Canis lupus familiaris: one gene and its partners. The protein of the gene in region 2 binds, or shares a complex with, the protein of the main gene of each other region. Links are inferred from orthologs where the notes say so. Each region holds a gene or a part of one and is shown on either strand. Other genes may lie near its edges.

The links.
Region 1: TAF11 (region 2) and TAF5 share a complex: the UniProt entries of both Homo sapiens proteins name them as parts of the TFIID basal transcription factor complex. The link is inferred for Canis lupus familiaris from reciprocal best matches to the Homo sapiens genes TAF11 and TAF5.
Region 3: TAF11 (region 2) and TAF9 share a complex: the UniProt entries of both Homo sapiens proteins name them as parts of the TFIID basal transcription factor complex. The link is inferred for Canis lupus familiaris from reciprocal best matches to the Homo sapiens genes TAF11 and TAF9.
Region 4: TAF11 (region 2) and TAF7 share a complex: the UniProt entries of both Homo sapiens proteins name them as parts of the TFIID basal transcription factor complex. The link is inferred for Canis lupus familiaris from reciprocal best matches to the Homo sapiens genes TAF11 and TAF7.
Region 5: TAF11 (region 2) and TAF13 share a complex: the UniProt entries of both Homo sapiens proteins name them as parts of the TFIID basal transcription factor complex. The link is inferred for Canis lupus familiaris from reciprocal best matches to the Homo sapiens genes TAF11 and TAF13.

Annotation. Positions count from the first base shown.
Region 1 is NC_049249.1:15,941,791-15,945,306, forward strand, and holds part of TAF5 (transcription initiation factor TFIID subunit 5), read left to right. Parts: coding exon 1-216; intron 217-3,516. UniProt on the Homo sapiens protein: The TFIID basal transcription factor complex plays a major role in the initiation of RNA polymerase II (Pol II)-dependent transcription.
Region 2 is NC_049233.1:4,269,736-4,273,946, forward strand, and holds the start of TAF11 (transcription initiation factor TFIID subunit 11), read right to left. Parts: upstream 2,801-4,211; 5' UTR 2,526-2,800; intron 2,499-2,525; exon of another isoform or gene 2,440-2,498; intron 2,077-2,439; exon of another isoform or gene 2,050-2,076; 5' UTR 1,525-2,049; coding exon 1,354-1,524; exon of another isoform or gene 1,235-1,353; intron 1-1,234. Other genes in the region: ANKS1A (ankyrin repeat and SAM domain-containing protein 1A), read left to right, coding at 2,990-3,192. UniProt on the Homo sapiens protein: The TFIID basal transcription factor complex plays a major role in the initiation of RNA polymerase II (Pol II)-dependent transcription.
Region 3 is NC_049257.1:19,523,887-19,526,724, forward strand, and holds TAF9 (transcription initiation factor TFIID subunit 9), read right to left. Parts: upstream 1,568-2,838; 5' UTR 1,440-1,567; coding exon 642-1,439; 3' UTR 503-641; downstream 1-502. UniProt on the Homo sapiens protein: The TFIID basal transcription factor complex plays a major role in the initiation of RNA polymerase II (Pol II)-dependent transcription.
Region 4 is NC_049223.1:35,442,262-35,446,428, reverse strand, and holds TAF7 (transcription initiation factor TFIID subunit 7), read left to right. Parts: upstream 1-1,351; 5' UTR 1,352-2,101; coding exon 2,102-3,151; 3' UTR 3,152-3,675; downstream 3,676-4,167. UniProt on the Homo sapiens protein: The TFIID basal transcription factor complex plays a major role in the initiation of RNA polymerase II (Pol II)-dependent transcription.
Region 5 is NC_049227.1:43,170,351-43,174,341, forward strand, and holds the start of TAF13 (transcription initiation factor TFIID subunit 13), read left to right. Parts: upstream 1-1,176; 5' UTR 1,177-1,232; coding exon 1,233-1,259; intron 1,260-2,111; coding exon 2,112-2,190; intron 2,191-3,991. UniProt on the Homo sapiens protein: The TFIID basal transcription factor complex plays a major role in the initiation of RNA polymerase II (Pol II)-dependent transcription.

The DNA of each region.
Region 1 (3,516 bases), on a different chromosome or scaffold from region 2:
CCAGCCGGATGTCAGTGCTGTGCTGTCAGCCTACAACCAACAAGGAGACCCCACAATGTATGAAGAATACTATAGTGGACTGAAACACTTCATTGAATGTTCTTTGGACTGCCATCGGGCAGAGTTATCCCAACTCTTTTATCCTCTGTTTGTACACATGTACTTGGAACTAGTCTACAATCAACATGAGAATGAAGCAAAATCATTTTTTGAGAAGTATGTGAATTTCATATGTATTACATAAATAGCACACATATATAATGTGTATACACATCTGTAACCACACAAGTGTAAGATTGTAACTCAAAATGTATTTCATGAAGTAGAGATACCTGCTGCTAGGAGAACCTAAAAAAGGGGTTTGATCTAGTTGGAGAAGTCAGGGAAAGCTCCCTGAGAAAGTGATCTTGAGGTAAGATCCGAAGATTGGATTGGAGCTAACCAGATAAAGAGAAGTAGGAAAAGCGTGTGGAATAGCTCTGGCGGGAGGGATCATGGTAGGTGCAGAGATGAAGGAAGGCCAGTATGGCTGGAGCAGAGTATAGAGTCAGGTACAGTATAACCTGAAGCTGGGCTGGTACAGACAGGTTCTTGGGCCATGTTGAGGGTCTTTGTTTATTCTGAGAGCAGTGGTGGGTTGTATTGGGTAGGATTAGGAGCTGAGATTCAATGGACACTCAAACAATAATGACATAAATAAGTGTATTTTTTGCTTTTATCCTAAGAGCAATAGGAAGCTGTGTTAGGGTTAGATTAGATTGAGAGTGACTGAAAACCCAAATAATATGGCTTAAGTACAGTAAAAGTTCATTTCTCTCTCATAAAGGTTAGGCAGTCGGGGACTGGTATGGAGGCCTTGATTACTGGGGACCCAGGCTTTCTCCATCTCGATGCTCTTCCATCCTTGTCGCGTAGTTTCTACCTGTGGCACAAGATGGCTCTTTGGCTCTGAGCAGTCATATTAGTGTTGCAGTCAGCTGGAAAGGCGCACATCCTTTCTGGAAGTTGCACACACCTCTTCCCTTTATTTTTTTTTTAAGATTTTATTTACTTATTCATGAGAGACACAGGGGTGGGGGCAGAGACATAGGCAGAGGGAGAAGCAAGCTCCCCCGCAGGGAGCCCAATGTGGGACTTGATCCCAGGATTCTGGGTTCATGCCCTGAGCCAAAGGCAGATGCTCAACCACTGAGCCGCCCAGGTGTCCCACACCTTTTCCTTTTTTTTTTTTTTTTTTTTTTTTTTTTAAAGATTTTATATATTCATGAGAGAGACAGAGAGAGGCAGAGATACAGGCAGAGGGAGAAGCAGGCTTCATGCAGGGAACTCGATGTGGAACTCCCATCCTGGATCTCCAGGATCACGCCCTGGGCTGAAGATGGCGATAAACCACTGAGCCACCCAGGCTGCCCCCTCTTCCTTTTTTATGTGGTTAGTCAATGTTCATACTTCCTATCTCCCTTGTGTTTATGTGCTCAGCTAAGATGCAGGAATTCTGCTGTGGAGGAAGAAAGAAAAAAAATGGATGTTAGGGACAGTGAGGTGTCTCTGCTATAGAAGTCATTGAAGGTCCATGTCATTATTAGATTTGCATTTTTAAAAAATTTTATTATTAATCTCTTTACCCAGAGTGGGGCTGAACTCACAACCCTGATGAGATCGAGTCGTATGCTCTACTACTTATGCCAGACAGGTGCCCTGATTTGCCTTTTGAAAGGACCTTTATGCAGTTGGAAAGAATAGATGGTGGTTGTAGGGAGGAACAGAGTGACTTTAGAGTGACTGGTTTGGGAGGTGATTGTAGTGGTCCTCAACTAGGGGGTAATATTATTCTGGCTTCTCCTGGGCTATTTGAACATGTGTAAAGGTGTTTTGGTTGTCATAATGACCAGGGTGGGGAAGAGCAGGTGTCTTCGGGATGCCAAATGTTCTAATATGTGCAGGTAGTCCTATTTAACAAAGAATTGTTCTGCCCCAAAATCTTCTGTTGAGAAATATTAGACTAGGGTGCAGTAGTGTTTGTGAAGGTAAGTAGATATTGGTGAGGCAGTTGGTGATGGATTGGATATGGAGTAAGGGAGATGAGAGTATTATTGATAACCATTAGGTTTCTGGCTCCATCATCTGGATAGGGGTGGCCTTCACTAAGATAGGAAACCCTGGAAGAAGACCTGGTTTGACCGGTTGTGGAGTAATCTTGAGTTCAGATTTGAATATGCCTTTGACTCATTTAAGAGATACTAAGTTGATTCGTGAATGGTATATAAGTCTCTGGAGTTCCAAGGAGATGTAGGGACCAGAGCCATAAATTGGAGTTGTGTATAATATTGATGCATATGGATGAGATTACCTGGAGTGGAGGCTATATGAAATAAGTCACTGGGAGGCTGGACCTGGGCCTTGAGGAACTCCCAACATTTGGAGTAGAAGAGATAGAAAAAGAGTAGAACAGATGGCCAAGTAGAAGAGGTATGCAAGGAGAAGTTAGAGAAGTAGGAAGAAAACCAGGAAGGTATTGAGTTATAGAAGCCAAAGAAAGGAGTGTTTAAAAAGGAGGCAGTACTTAACAGTTTGAATGAGAACATTTTAATACAAACAATAGACCCAAAAGCCAGCAGTTGTCAGACAACACAAGTAGTGGTTATAGGGGAATAATAGAACTTGGGACACTTAGCTTCAATGCCATCATGTCCATTCGTTATTGTATGATGCCTTATAGAAGGTTATAAAGCAAATATTCTTTAGCTTAGCATTTTAGAAAAAAATTAACAAAGGCTGATGATGATAGGATTGTAACCTAATTTTTCTTAAAGTATTGTCATCAAGAAACCCCTTCCTCTCTTAGTATCATGGGTAGCCATCTTGCCACAGAAAAATAGAATATCCTGGGGGACTCTTGTCTGCTTGTTGTGGACAATCTCAGCCCTTCCCAAGCACCAGTGCTCAGATGAGGTTATGGGCAGTGACTGCTATGAACACCAGGAGACTGAAATTTCTAATTTCACTGAAATCTTGGACAGAAACCCTTAGTTCATGTCTTGGTGAATCATAATAGGGTAACATAGGTAACAGTTTAGGAATCTTTTGACTTGTATCAGAGCTAGAGCCCTAATATCTTATGTTTAGTCATTGTTCTCTAAATGTTTTTGCGTTGTTAGTGAGTGCCAAATATATGATCTTTAATTTTACTTTATCAGGAAAATTAAGATTTATAGAAACAAAAGTACATTTAAATTTACTAATTATCACCAAGGCTGAAAGCTTTACTTAATTACCTTTGGTAATGGTGAGTAAATGGAAGTGTTTATTCTTTGGTATCAACATTTGTTTGTCCTTTAGTCATTATTATTATACTGATGTTTAATAAATATATCTGGTATTAAGAATATAAGAAATCATTGAAAATGGTGGGTTTTATGAGAATGTCATGTATTATTAAGAAGCTGGGGGATAGGTTCGTTAATTATACTAGTTTCTACTGTTGTATATGTTTGAAAATTTCCATAATAAAAAGCT
Region 2 (4,211 bases):
ATTGCTAGACTGAAAACTTTTTTTTAAAAAGATTTTATTTATTTATTTATTCATGAGAGACACAGAGAAAAGCAAAGACATAGGCAGAGGGAGGAGCAGGCTCCATGCAGGGAGCCCAATGTGGGACTCAATCCCGGGTCTCCAGGATCATGCCGAGCCAAAGGCAGATGTTTAACTGCTGAGCCACCCAGGCGTCCCCTAGACTGAAAACTTTTTGAAGATAGATTTCTTATTAATCTCTCCCCACATAAGCATTTAACATAAATTTACTTGTACTAGATGTTTAATAGCAATTAAAATCCAAATTCATCCTCTCCATCTTAATGTAAGATCAAAAGACACAACAAACCTCATTAATGGGATTTAATCTGTTTTCCCTAAAGAGGAACTCACATAAACTCATACAGGAATATGAGGGGACAGGTGAAAGTGAAGGTAGTATATCTTTAAAAAACTTTTCCATTTCTTCTCTAGTTATTTAATACACATTTTCTAACCTCTCTGTGCTTTAATTTTGGTGATTTCTATTTTCCTTAAAAATGAGCCATTTTTCTTAGACATTAAAATTTATTTGGCCTAAACTTGAACATCAAATATTTCTGGTTTGTTCTGTTCTTCTCGTTTCTTGAGTTGGGTGCTTATCTCCTGTTTGTTAACAAAAATATAGAAAGCTATGAATTTTTCTGTAAATAAGGTATTGGCCAAAGCCCATAGGATTTGATGTCACGTTCTCTTTGGTCAATGCAGTAGTTAAATGTTGGAAGGAGGTAAAAATGTGACTAACCCAGTAAGTCCCTCACAGTCTCCATTGAACGATTCTGCAGCGTGTAATGACAAAGTTATGCTTGAGCAACATCTAGGAGAAACCATATTTCGGTCAAAGGGGTTCTAGAATCCTGGCTTCTAGCTCTTGCATAAAGTCTTAGTGTGACATCAGGTCCCAATTCTTCACCAGGAAAACCAAGAGGCTATGCCAAAGTCCCTGAGGGGCGCCTGGGTGGCTTCCTGAGTGGGGAAGGAGGCACTCTTGATCTCACCGTCGTGTTCAAGTCCCACCTTGGGGGGGGAGAGTTTACGTAAAAAAAAAAAAAAAAAAAAAAAAAATCCCTTATAAGTAGCCTCGACAGGTAAGGGCAAGGATTAAAAGTATTAAACCCAATGGCTAGGTCTCTGGAACCGAAGCAGCATTAAAGTTTTGTCTCTTCCCTCTCCCCGCCCACCTTTTCATATCTAGAGAGTTATGGTGAGTTAAGAGTTTTATCTTAGCTTGGAGGGACCAACCAGGAAGGCGGTCGGGAGAGCACTAAAAATCTCGGAATACTCCTCTAGCCTCATCAACACTTCCCTCCCTACCTCGCCGTCTTCGGCCGTGGCTTCCTTCAAGTCCCCATCTCCGTCCACGTCAGTTTCCTCCGGGATTCCGTCAGTATCTGTAGGCCCGGGGACCCCGGGAGCAGGGGCCGTTTCATCTGACTCCCTTGCCTCTCCACCTTTTTCCGTGGGCGACTCGCAGGCATTATCCATAGCGGTAAGAAAAAGAGCGGAGAGATCGCCCTCCTGTCAGATCCTGGAGCTCACGCACGACCTACTGGAGCACAGCAGCCCCGAAGCTTACTTCCTGTCGTCGCTCTGTGATGACATCACTCCTACCGCTCCTCGGAGGGGACAGTTTGAAGCACGTTTAGAGTACTTCAGGACTCCCTTTTAACTCTGATTCGGTGACGGTTGGAGAGGGAAGACTGAGGTTACAGAATTCAGTTTGTGGATTTTCCACACTGGGAAAGAAGAGTTGTGTTGCTTACTGAAGGACTTTTTTCTCTTTTTTCCCCCTCCGTTCTGCCTTTCCAAAAACGAAGTTAACTGCTTAATCCGCTTTTCTCAGAGTCAAGTTTGGGGACGGGAGAAAACTCCATTCCATTGTACGCGGGTGTGGTGGGATGCGGCTACCTGGTAAATTTATAGGCGGGGACACAGCTTCGTACATTTCAATTGGTTAGCGATCGTGGGCCTGTGTGAATCGCCAGCATTTCTCTTCGGTTCCTTATGCACCTTAAAAAAAAAAAAAAAAAAAAAAAAGTCATATAGCTCGAACAGAATTGATCCAACCCATTTATTCACGCCACAACTGTTGAGCGCCTACTTCGAGCTAGGGACAGTTCTAGTAGCAACAACACATAGTTTCTACCCGCATAAGTGATTTTTCAATTCACCGGTCCTAAAGATCGAGGTCGGTTTTACAAACCTGACTTCTTAGGTCAGTTTGGTTAATCTCATCAAAAGGAGAGGAAACGGATTCTACTGGGAAGGGAGGTCTCGTCTTTGCATATTTCACTTTAACGAGCCATGTCAGAGATTGGGACCATCAAGAAGTGGAGGGATTTTTATTTAAAAATTTTCCTCTCTCCCGTGATTGAGGTAAGAGTGGGGCATTTTATTCACCTCTGTATCACTAGGCCCCCACAGACACCACAGATTTAATTTATGCGTGCTCAAAGAATGGACTTGGAAATGTAGGTGGGCGTTACCGTATTTCTCTCTTTGTTTGCACGCTGCCTGGGTGAATTACCGTATTTCCTGTCCTGTGGGCTCCCAGAACCTTTGGGGAAGGAGCGCACTTCGGGAGGCGCCTACAGGTGGACTCCGTCTGTCCCCTTCCACCCGTACAGCGGGAATCTCCAAGTCGCTTTCCTCTTGCCGCTGGAGGCGTATCTCCGCACTCCCGGGTCCACTTCCCGCGGCCCAAAGCCACCTGCGCCCGCCGGCCGAGCCCCGCCCAGCTAGGTGGGCAAGGGGGCGGGGCGTGGGGGCGCGGTGACGCGTGACGCCAGATCCCGGAAGTGACGCGCTCCTGGGGCGAAAAGGCGGGGGGAGGGGGGTGGTGTCCCCGGCCGGTTTGGGGGGTGCGTTGCCCGGAGACGGAAAGTTTGGGAGCAGGAGCAGGCTCGGCCGCAGCCCTGGGAAGGGGGTCCAGGGGGCGGTGGCCCTGGGGATGGGGAAGGAGCAGGAGCTGCTGGAGGCGGCCCGCACCGGGCACCTCCCGGCCGTGGAGAAGCTGCTGTCGGGGAAGCGGCTTTCCTCGGGCTTCGGGGGTGGCGGCGGCGGCGGCAGCGGCTCCTCCGGGAGCGGCGGCGGCGGCGGCGGCGGCGGCCTCGGCCTCGGGTCCTCTAGCCATCCGCTCTCCAGTCTGCTCAGGTGAGTGACGCGCCGGGGCGGGACCGCCGCCCGGGGATCCCCTCTCCCCCGCCTGTCCCCTGGGTGTCGAGAGAGGTCCGCGCTCCGGAGAGCCGTCGGGGTGGGCTTGCGGCACGCCGGGCCGAGGGCGGGCGGCCCACGGGGCGAGGGGCGCCCGTGCAGGTTCGCGCGGCGCCGGGCTGCCGTCTGGCGTCCCGACTCGGCTGTGGAGAATGGTGGGAGTGCCCAGGCGCAGCCTCCGCCGCCGCATGGCACGGCCGGGCTTCACCTCGCCCGCCTCGGGTGCCAGCTGCCGCTTCTCACACGGCACTTCAGAGCAAAGGAATATTCATTTTAAATCTCCCTCACCTCGTGCAGAAACTCCCACGCCTTGCAGAATCTCGCCGCTCCCCTGGAGGAAATTCTCATGATTTCCTTCTTTTGGGAACTTGGAATCTTCCACCACGCCCCACGGGACCTGGCTTTTGTTGTTTACGTTAAAATTGTGTCTGGATTTACCACGTCCCGAGTGTTCTTTTAGCCCCTCTTGTGCTCGGAGCTTAGATTCTAGTGCGTTGTAATGAAGCTCATTGGGTTAGTCTGCTGAGTGGCGTACGCAGGATTCGTCAAGGGGTTTATTCGTCAAGAGACAAAGCTTTAGAAAGAGTGATTTCGGAAACTGAGGGGTGCTTTAAACTTTTCCGAGGTTTGTTGTTAAACACTTGATCTGGAGCTATCTGGATTCAGAGAAGAAGGTCACTTTTGCCTGGATTGGAGGGGGAGTTGGAGGCGCTTTGTCAGTGTGAGTAAAATGTGTTGGTCAGCAGCACTTTCATTGCCTGTTTTCTTTTCCTTCCTTGTTCTTTTGAGGTTTTCAAGAAGTGGAAGTTCATTTAGAAATGGCTTCGTTGGCTTTTGTTCCCTATTAGTTTACGTAACTTCAGTTCGAGTGAGCTTGGACCAAAGCAACCTAAGGAGGTAATAAATGTTAGGTATTAAGCACTAAGTACAAACCCAGGTCTACACAGGAAGGTTTTTAA
Region 3 (2,838 bases), on a different chromosome or scaffold from region 2:
GCTGTGGAATGCTTTGCTGCTTTGTTTTCCCAACTAGACTCATTAGCAGTGCCAGGTGGTAATAACTATCCAACTGATTCCTACTAGTAAAATAAAATCTGCCTAAGATCACTATGGACTCTTTCCCCCATTCTCTGCTTCATTTCTGACCTGATACGCTTTTGGAAAATAATTATGCATGGCAGGAAGTTGCCATACAACAGAGAAGGATTGTTGCATCCTGGGATTATATAGGATTTCAGATCAAATACTTTTTATTGTGAGAATAAATTGAAAAACATGGTTTTCATCAGTATAGCACAGTCAAATCTATTTCTTGCTTTTCTTCTTTCCTGTTCATTTCATCATTAAAGACTCAACAAAAGAAATTTTTATTAATTTAAGAGAATGTTTGCACTGGTGTTTTTTGTTTTTTTTTTTGATGAACAACAATTTTATTTTTCACACTTAAAGGCTAATGAATAACCATTACTAATCCTATTAAAGAAAACCCAACATTCAATAGGAAAGGATAACTATATTTACTCATTAAATACCATTTAAGTTTTCTACAACACAACTTCAAAATACCCAGCATGCACGTTTAATCTCAGTACAATGGATTTAAGACCAAGTTTACAGGTTACAGCATCAAGGCTAGATTACAAATTATCATAGTCATCATCGTCATCATCATCGTCATCATCATCATCTTCTCGTTTTCTTTTCAATGCATTTGATGATTCATTGGAAGTATTTTGTGATGACACCATGTTTGTAGTGATAAGAATGTTTTTGGACCCAATTAATGATGGATTAATCAGAACATTCTGAACTGCGGATGTGGCAGGAATTGATGCTTTTACAGTTGGGGACTGTGATGTGGGCATCTGTACTGTAAACCTCTGCCCTGTGAGGGACATGGGAGTCCCTACTTTAGTTGACACTGACATGGTTTGTGGGGTTGGTGTACCAAGAGTGGGAGTACTTGGTCGGCTAGTAACAGAACCAACACTTAACCGTGGAACTGTTATTCTTCCCGCAGAAGTTGATGCCTTTTTTTGTAAAGACTTAAGTCTATAGTTTGGAGCCGTCAAGCAATATCTATCAGGTGGCAGCCTGGGGCCTGAATATGGCTTGATTAACGGCAAAGGAGTTTGATTTCTTTGCCTTGCAATATCCAATAAAAAATCTCTTGGGGGAGGAGAGGTAAAAGACTGATCAGCACGACACTGAATGGCAAGCCGCACATCGTCTGCATCAACAGTAGCCTTCTTAGCATGGCTTGAATAAATTTTTGCATCATCTAGGATTGTGGTCACATATCGGAACGCAAACTCCAACATCTGATTTATAACTCTTGGTTCATATTCTGTAATCCCCATATCCTTCAGGATTTGTGCCATCATCTGTGCATCTTTCGGCATGCTCTTGGGAGAAGCCATCTTGCCAGACTCCATGATATCTGTTGATCAGACTTCTTGAGCTAAATCACCCACATTAATGTATTTCAATCCTGATCTCGATGCAAGTTCTTTGCCTAGTGTGGTTTTTCCAACCCCCGGGGTACCGGTGAGCAGGATGTTCGGGAGCAACATTGCACTGGTGTTTAGCATTCAGTAACATAATGTAGATTCTAGAAACAAAACTAGCCCCAGGATCTGTTCAAGTAAGCTGGAATAAAGGAGTGTATCTTTTAAAGTTGTCTTTTTTTTCACCCATTATACATTGTTACTCAACAGGTAGAAATATGAAGCAGTAAAACAGTATTTAGTAAGCCATTCTCTTATCTAGGAGGCTTTTTTAGTCAGTTAAATTTTGTTTCTGCTTCATTTTTATTAAAAAGAGTAAGGTAACAAAGGGACATAAATGAGGATATGTTTTTAAAAGTAACCGCCTGCCACCTTCCAAAGAAGATAGCCAAATTCCTAGACCTGTGCTATTCCATACAGTAGCCACTAAGCCACACTTGGCTACTGAGCACTGGAAATGTGCCTAGTTCAAATGGAGATGTGAGGGACACCTGGGTGGCTCAGAGGCTGAGCATCTGCCTTTGTCTCAGGGCATGATCCCTGGTTCCAGGATTGAATCCTGCATCTGGCTCCTTGTGGGGAGTCTGCGTCTCTGCCTCTCTGTGTCTCTCATGAATAAATACAATCTCAAAACAAAACAAAACAAAAACAAACCAGAAACAAAAACAAATGGAGATGTAAAGTGTAAAACACATGTTAGATTTCAGAAACTGAATGTGAATAAAGAAGAAAAAAAACCTTAGCAATAATTTTTAAATATATAGTTTGAAAAGATATATTTTGGATATATTGAGTTCAATAAAATATATTATTAAAATTAATTTCACTTATTACTTTTTTAAAGACTTATTTGAGAGAGAAAGAGAGAGAGCACGCGAGTGTGCAAGGGGAGAGGCAGAAGGAGAGGCAGAGAGAAACCCAAGCAGACTTGGTGCTCAGCACAGAACCCGAGGTGAGGTTCAATTTCATGTCTCTGAGATCATGACCTGAGCTGAAATCAAGAGTCAGATAGATGCTTAACGGACTACACCACCCACACTCCCCTGTTTATTACTTTTTTAAAAAATGTGTCTACTAGAAGATTTTAAATTACCTAATGAGTTGTATGATATTTTTATTGGACAACACTGTCCTAGGCTGTTATTTTGGGACATCATTACTCCTGAGAACCGACCATGAATAACAGTAAGATCTTCAATCATAGAGTTAAAACTTAATTCAAAGCTTTTTGAAAAGCAACTTGGAGATACATATTAAGAGACTTACATGTATCTTAACTCTCTTGGGCAGGAATTTATATTTCTGTGACCTATATTTCTGTGATGTA
Region 4 (4,167 bases), on a different chromosome or scaffold from region 2:
TTTAATTTCCTCACATGACACCCAATACCACAGACTACCTAAACCAAAACAGACACATTCACACGCACTTTTAGGAAACCTCTCCACTCACAATTGGCACTGCCCTTGGCTAGAGAGAAAATATATATAAAGTAGCTCTGTCTCATTTTAGAATGTATTGTCTCTCACAAATTATTTATTATGGGAAACAGACTATATGTCATTTCTAAATGAATCAACTTTCATTCAATTAGCAAATATTTTTTTGTGTTTCCCATGTTTTGGTAATAGGTCCTGGGACACCATGAACAGGGATATCAAAAACTCCCTGATTATCACAGAGCTTCCAATCTGGTGCAAGAGAAACAGTCAAGTACCTAAACAAAACGAATTCTGAAAGTGTTAATCACATTTTAAGTGAGTTTGCTTAAATTTAGATGAAGTTGTTCATATTTTAGAAGACAGAAACAAAATTTTAATGACCTTGATGCTTAACCAAACTGATCCTATTAAAAAATAAATGGAAATGAATAGGAGCAAATGTAAACTGTTACATATTTAGGCCTAAACACTACAAAACATGCAAATGAGTACCTCACTACCCGTAGAAGTGACAAGCAGAAAACAGTTTCAAAAGAGTAGATGTGGAATGAAAAAAAAAATCCTAACTTAAAAAGTACAGGCAAATGCGTGACAGGGAGTAATACTTCAATTTTATTCTACTTCAATCAGACCGTTTGTCAGACAATTATGTTCTAAACGAATATATGCCTCCAGAAGAACACTCGCTTCTTTGTTTACATTTAGATCTACGTCAAACATATTAAAAAGAGGAATAACTCATGTACCCTTGTGGTTTTTCAAAAAAGAAAGAGTCCCTAAGGCATGGGTCCCCTCCAGGCATTTTCCATAATTAACAAAACATATACTTAGAATGATATAGTGGTCAGCATGTCCTTCTCACTCCACTGATTTGAGTAGTTTAAAATCCACTGTTATATATATAACAATTATAGTTAACTATAATTCTTGTATCTGCTCCAGAATGGATATACCGTGGGGAGCATCCGAGATGTTCCAAAAGGCAAAGACGATTTCTGCACGGACGCCCTGTTTCCGGAAATCACTCAGAAGCCTAGGAGATAACCGGACCACGGCGACCAATAAATGTTCTGGCTTAGCGGAGCGGGAAAGGTGAACGCGAGGGCCAATGTCTTCGCTGCAATGTTTGTCTGTAAATATTTTCAAACCAACAGCTCTTTATGAAACATTTATCGTTTTCTCGCGTAAAGTCAAATCATCGCGAGAGGACAAGTCCCCGGATAATGTAATTGCGCCTGCGCGCGCTGGGGCAGCCCGGACTTCCGCTTTAATCGTGCTGTCACTCATAGCCGCCCCACGGTGTGACGTAGTGCTTTCTTCTCCGCTAGGTCTGCAGCTCCGGACTGAGATCCCCCGAGCTGCGGAGCTGCCGAGTCTGGCGCTGCGGATCTCGGCGAGATTTCGCACTGCCCGCCGTCGGCATTTCATTGATAATCGGTAGCGGATCACTTTCCTAAGACCTGGGAAGAACAAAGGAATAAAGAAGGAGACGCTCGGCTCCTGGCCGTCTTGCTCGGAGTGGCTGCCTCTTCCGCTCGCTCCTATCCGGAGAAGCTGGGCTTATAATCGTCACTGGATTGTAAGTACCCAAGGCGAAGAAAGCTCACTGCGTTCTGCTTTTTGAATACCTTTGTTCCGGGAGAGAGTGTAAAATGGGAGTGTCTGCTGGGCCTTACTTTTTGTGTCGAAAATCATTTCGCAGAAGCCGCCATTTGCTTTCCTGCTAGGTAGCTCGGTCTGCATTGTCCGGCAGCGGCATCTAGAGGTTGGAACTTGAATTGCAGCTAATAGTTTTAAATGGACTTAATTGATTAGTGTCCCTAACGACTGGTATTTCAATCACAGCAGATTTATAAAGACTTGGGCCTTAATTCACAGTAGACGCTTAGCTCCTATTCTGCTTAAAACTTTTGTAATTAAGGATTTCAGTTCATAACAAACTGGCCTCCACCTGTTGTCAGTAGCTGGAACTTAAAGTGCAACAAGTGGTGGTTGAGAAGTGAGTCTCAAAGAAGGAAAGATGAGTAAGAGCAAAGATGATGCTCCTCACGAACTGGAGAGCCAGTTTATTTTACGGCTACCTCCGGAATATGCCTCTACTGTGAGACGGGCAGTACAGTCTGGTCATGTCAATCTGAAGGACAGACTGACAATTGAGTTACACCCTGATGGACGTCACGGAATCGTCAGAGTGGACCGGGTTCCATTGGCCTCCAAATTGGTAGATCTGCCATGTGTTATGGAAAGCCTGAAAACCATTGATAAAAAAACTTTTTACAAGACAGCTGATATATGTCAGATGCTTGTCTCCACAGTTGATGGTGATCTCTATCCTCCTGTGGAGGAACCAGTTGCTACTACTGATCCCAAAGCAAGCAAGAAAAAGGATAAGGACAAAGAGAAGAAGTTTATATGGAACCATGGAATTACTCTGCCTCTAAAAAATGTCAGAAAGAGAAGGTTTCGGAAGACAGCAAAGAAGAAGTATATTGAATCTCCAGATGTGGAGAAGGAAGTGAAGCGGTTGCTAAGTACAGATGCTGAAGCTGTGAGTACTCGTTGGGAGATAATTGCTGAAGATGAAACAAAAGAAACAGAAAATCAAGGCCTTGATATATCTTCTCCAGGAATGTCTGGTCACAGGCAGGGCCATGACTCATTAGAACATGATGAGCTTCGGGAGATATTCAATGACCTCAGTAGCAGCAGTGAAGATGAAGATGAGACGCAGCATCAAGATGAAGAAGATATAAACATCATTGACACTGAGGAAGATCTGGAAAGACAGCTACAGGAGAAGCTGAATGAATCAGATGAACAGCACCAAGAAAATGAGGGGACCAACCAACTGGTTATGGGAATTCAGAAACAGATTGATAATATGAAAGGCAAACTACAAGAGACCCAGGATAGGGCAAAACGACAGGAGGATCTCATTATGAAAGTCGAAAACCTGGCTCTCAAGAATAGATTTCAGGCCGTGCTGGATGAACTCAAACAAAAGGAAGACCGAGAAAGGGAGCAGCTCAGCTCTTTGCAGGAAGAGCTAGAATCACTCCTGGAGAAGTGAAAAGAGCTCTCGTATTTAATTTCATTCCTAAGACTGCTTTCATTCCTTAGCATTGAAAGAAGAATCTTGGCTTCATCACACCTGGACTAGATATAACTGCAGTAGTTCTCATTTTCTTCACTGTTATCTACTGAATTTGTCTTACAAATATGTGAATTGCTATCTTGTTTGTCAGAACCACTTTGCTCTGTGTCCTGTAGAAAGTAAGAATGTATAGACAGATAAGTGATTGTAGGAAAATTGTAGGCTCAGTGGAATGAACAGTGTAACCTTAGTAATTAAAACTTTACTGAAGGATTTTGCTGCTGTTTCTCCATTTGCCAGAGTGGCTGTTCCTTCTCTGTGATGCCATCAGAAATCAGTAAGCAGAGTCTAGTGTGCAGGCAGTGATGTTGGTTTGCATGTTTTCCCATGAAGTAGTAGCTATTTTCCCAGGTATTCAAAGCGTTCTTATGTATGTAGGGTTATAAACCATTTCAAAAAGTTGTTTTAACAATAAATAAAAGCAACTAATTTTCACCTCATGATGTGTCTTGCTCTTTAAGGGGTAGTGGGTATCAGGTCCTCTGGTGAGGTGGTCTCTTGGTGGGGTTTAATGACTGATTTGATCCTGTTTTGTAGGGAAAGAAGTTATGTTGAGTTTTAAGAAAACACAGTAGGGTCAAAAAGATTGGGAAATCTGTCTTTGCTTTATGTTAACTTTCCAACCCACCTGTTACATATGTAGGTTAAGAAAATACTGCGTACAGAACCTTCCTAAACTATCCTAACTTTTGTACATGAAGGTCTATTTTTGTCTTTTTTTTTTTTTTTAAAGCACTACACTCATCTTGTTAAAATAGTAGAAACAAAGCAAAGGCTCTTACGTACTGTTCACGTAATCAACCCATTGTTTTGGATTGATTGCATTTCTAAATATTTTCAACTTCCATTCCTGCAATTATTTAATAGTATGTACAGAACTCAGGTGATATGTCCATGTTCGTCAAAATTGTTCAAAAGGAAGTCATCACTAT
Region 5 (3,991 bases), on a different chromosome or scaffold from region 2:
CCTCTGCCTGTGTCTCTGCTTCTCTCTCTCTCTATCTCTCATGAATAAATAAATAAAATCTTTAAAAAAACATAAGACATGTTTAGTATCTAAACAAAGTTAGGTTCTAGGCTCAGATAATTATAGGTTTTTCATTCACATGAATGTTTAGCAGGGCATTCAGAAATATTGTGGGACAACTTCTCCTTGTGTGGCATCATGCCTTGCATTGCAGAACATTTGATATCCCTAGCTTTAGCTTTCTAACGCCAGTGGTTTTCTTCATTGTTCTGATCACAAAATTCCCCACAAATATTTAATCCTCAGTTTAAGGGGGTGATGTTTTCCTCTTAAAAACTAGCGGCGAAGGAAAACATACCCAATAATCAGTGTAGTGCTTGGCAATTAATAATAGTGTAACTAGGGATCCCTGGGTGGCGCAGCGGTTTGGCGCCTGCCTTTGGCCCAGGGCGCGATCCTGGAGACCCGGGATCGAATCCCACGTCGGGCTCCCGGCGCATGGAGCCTGCTTCTCCCTCTGCCTCTCTCTCTCTCTGTGTGTGTGTGAGACTATCATAAATTTAAAAAAAAGAGTGTAACTAGGGCAGCCCCGGTGGCTCAGCGGTTTAGCGCCACCTTTGGTCCAGGGCCTGATCCTGGAGACCGGGGATCGAGTCCCATGTCGGGCTCCCCGCAGAGAGCCTGCTTCTCCCTCTGCCTGTGCCTCTGTCTCTGTCTCTCTCTCTCATGAATAAATAAATTAAATCTTAAAAAAATAATAATAGTGTAACTATAGGTTGTTAAAATTGTGTAAACACACTCTTCGGGCATCCCAAGGACCACTGGCACCCCAGTGATACGTAGCTTCACAGCCCCGAATCAGGGAGCGGTGATTCCATACGTAGAAGCCAATTCAGGGCCACAACATACACACTGCCCAGTCTACGATTTCCTTTTCTTTCCTAATACGTAATCAATCCGTGATCTTGATCACAGAACCTGCGGCTCATCCCCCTGTCCGCTTGCACCTGCCGTTAAGTCTCCGCGCGACCTCCTCGCGGGTTGGCCGACTAGGCCCCGCCCCGCCCGGCTCGGCCCCGCCCCCTCCCCGCCCTCCCGGCTCGGCCCCGCCCCCGCCCCTCCCGGCTAGGCCCCGCCCCTCCCCGCCCCTCCCGGCGCGTCACCGGAAGTGAGGCAGAGGAACTAGTGAAGCGGCTGCAAGCGAGGCTGCGGCTTCTAGGCTGGCCGGCGGCATGGCCGACGAGGAGGAAGACCCTGCTGTGAGTGACCGCCGCCGTTCCCACCCACCCGTTTCTTCATTCCCTGGGGGACAGGAGCGGAGCCTGAGTTCAGATTCACCTTAGCCAGTACACTGGAGAGAGTTCGGAGACTTCACGCCCAGCTAGCCTTTCCCTTCGGGTTCATCTCTTAGTACGTGGGGCAGGACGTGAAGAGTAGGACGGTGGCTGCTTGCTTGCTTCTGCTTGCTTTTGCTTTTGGTGTCTGTTTGCTGGACACTCCGAATCGCCTGGAAAGCCATCCGAGGACAATGCTAATTGTTTGTTAGCGCGCTTTATGAACCGATACTGCAGCTGATAACAAAACTATGTGCTTACTGTAGAGTTGTGGGAAAATAATGGACCGAAAATCAGGGAACCTGGATTTCAAAACCTCTTTTATCTCTGAGCCAGTTTCTTAACTTTGAGCCTTTGTTTACATGTCAAAAAATGGGGTTCAGGCTTATTGGAGGGAAGTTCCTAGTCCTGTGTAAGCGATGCTTAGTAAATACTAGTTTGCTTACTTTGATTCAGTACCAATTCTTAATAGTAAAAACTGTAGTAATAGACTAACTAGTTGGTTTAAAAAAAAAAAAACGTATGGTCATCATAACTTCCAGGAGAGGCAGTAGGATTATTTGTTAGGGACATCGTAGAAGCCATTCCTGCGTAAGTGGAAAGTTGGACTGGATAGTCATTAAGGTTCTTAAAACGCTGAGATTTCATGATTTTTTGCTGCTTGCTTTAGGCTTTCTGGCACAATATCAGTGTTAGAAATGAAAAAAAAATTAAACGTTAATTATTTAATAATCAAATGCAGCACTTGACATTTCACATATACGTTTTAATTTGTAGTTTGAGGAAGAAAATGAAGAAATTGGAGGAGGTGCAGAAGGCGGACAGGGTAAAAGGAAGAGACTTTTTTCTAAAGAATGTAAGTAATATTTGACAATGATTCAATTACAGAGAATAAAAACTTTTTTTTTTTTTTAAAAGATTTTACTTATTTATTCATGAGAGACACACAGAGAGAGGCAGAGGTAGAAGCAGGCTCCATGCAGGGAGCCGGATGTGGGACTTAATCCTGGGACTTCAGGATCATGCCCTGGGCCAAAGGCAGGCGCTAAACGGCTGAACCACCCAGGGATCCCGACAATAAAAACTTTTAGACATGTTTATTCAAAGTAGATTAATGTTCTCTGTGGGAACAATATTCTCAGACTTGCCCATAAAACGTGTTTAACTTCTGAATCAAATAGTAGTGATCCTAACCCCAATTTGTGTGTGTGTGTAGGTGGGTGGGCGTGTATATGCACTTTTCTTTTTAATTGAAGAAATGTGATCAGTGTTTCAATTCAGGGCCAAAAAACATACCTCCATTACTTTTTGTGTCCCTTACTATTGCAGCAGAACTCCTAGACTACAAGTCTAAGGTTATGATGGATCCTGGAACAGGTACTGATGGTAGGAATTAAGTTGGGCCTTCGGACTAAAGCATTGGACAAGACAGAAAGGTGATGAGTAGTGTAAGACAGTACAGTGGCATAGAGATTGTAATGTATTGGTTCTCTAGTGTATTCCCTCAATAGATAGGCTTGACTCTTTTTGGCAGCAGCAAGAGGGAGAGCTGCTGTTCCTAGTGACAGTCAAAGCTAGTCCCTGAAAGGCACTGTGAGAATGTGCTCTCCATCCTGTGTCTTTTACACGTAGTTATGGCTGAGTAGTGACAAAGGAGGCAGCACATGAATATATGGTTTATTTATGCTGGGTCGGACTGAATGATTCCCAAATGCTCTTGAAACTGCAGTCGGTATATATTTATATTTTTTTAATGACTCAAATCCTCCATATCTCAATGTCTCACCTAAAGTTGACCACTCCTTAATCCATCTTTGATACTCTTTATTCTGTTTTTATTTCTTATATCAGCGTAAGAAGGGGATTTCCACGGCAGAGCATCCCAGACTGATGTTTGCATTGTCACTTCTTAGCAGAAATGTTTGTTCTGCTTGGCTTGTTTTATTTTTGTGATGATAAGAGTTTGGAATATTCACAGCCTTCTCCTTGTCTTACTTTAATCTTGTATAATTTATTGGCTGACATCTGTTATCCGAAACTTTGTTTTTTTTTTATTTTTTTTTATTTTTATTTTTTTTAAATTTTTCTTTTTTTTTTTAATTTTCATTTATTTATGATAGTCACACACACAGAGAGAGAGGCAGAGACACAGGCAGAGGGAGAAGCAGGCTCCATGCACCAGGAGCCCGACGTGGGATTCGATCCCGGGTCTCCAGGATTGCGCCCTGGGCCAAAGGCAGGCGCCAAACCGCTGCGCCACCCAGGGATCCCTTGTTTTTTTTTTAATTGCTACTTTATAACACAAAGTTTCAAATAATTCACTGGTATTTGTGTCTTTACAAACCCTTTAACCAAATGCAGTTAACATATATACTGGTGAATTATGCTCATCAAAATGTTAATGACAAAGTATCTTCCTCAAATATTTAAGGAAAAATAGTAAGCTTGCAATGGAGAATCCTGGCAGACAAGTAATGTCTAAAGTATTAGCTGATGATCAAAGTCAACATCACCAGTAATGTATAACATCATGTACCTCCAATATGATGCATTAAGAGGGCACCTCACCTGTATGGTACCCTTTCTAGTAATGAGTACCCACAGTCTAATCATGAGAAAACACCAGAGAAACTCAAATTGGAGAACATTCTACACCA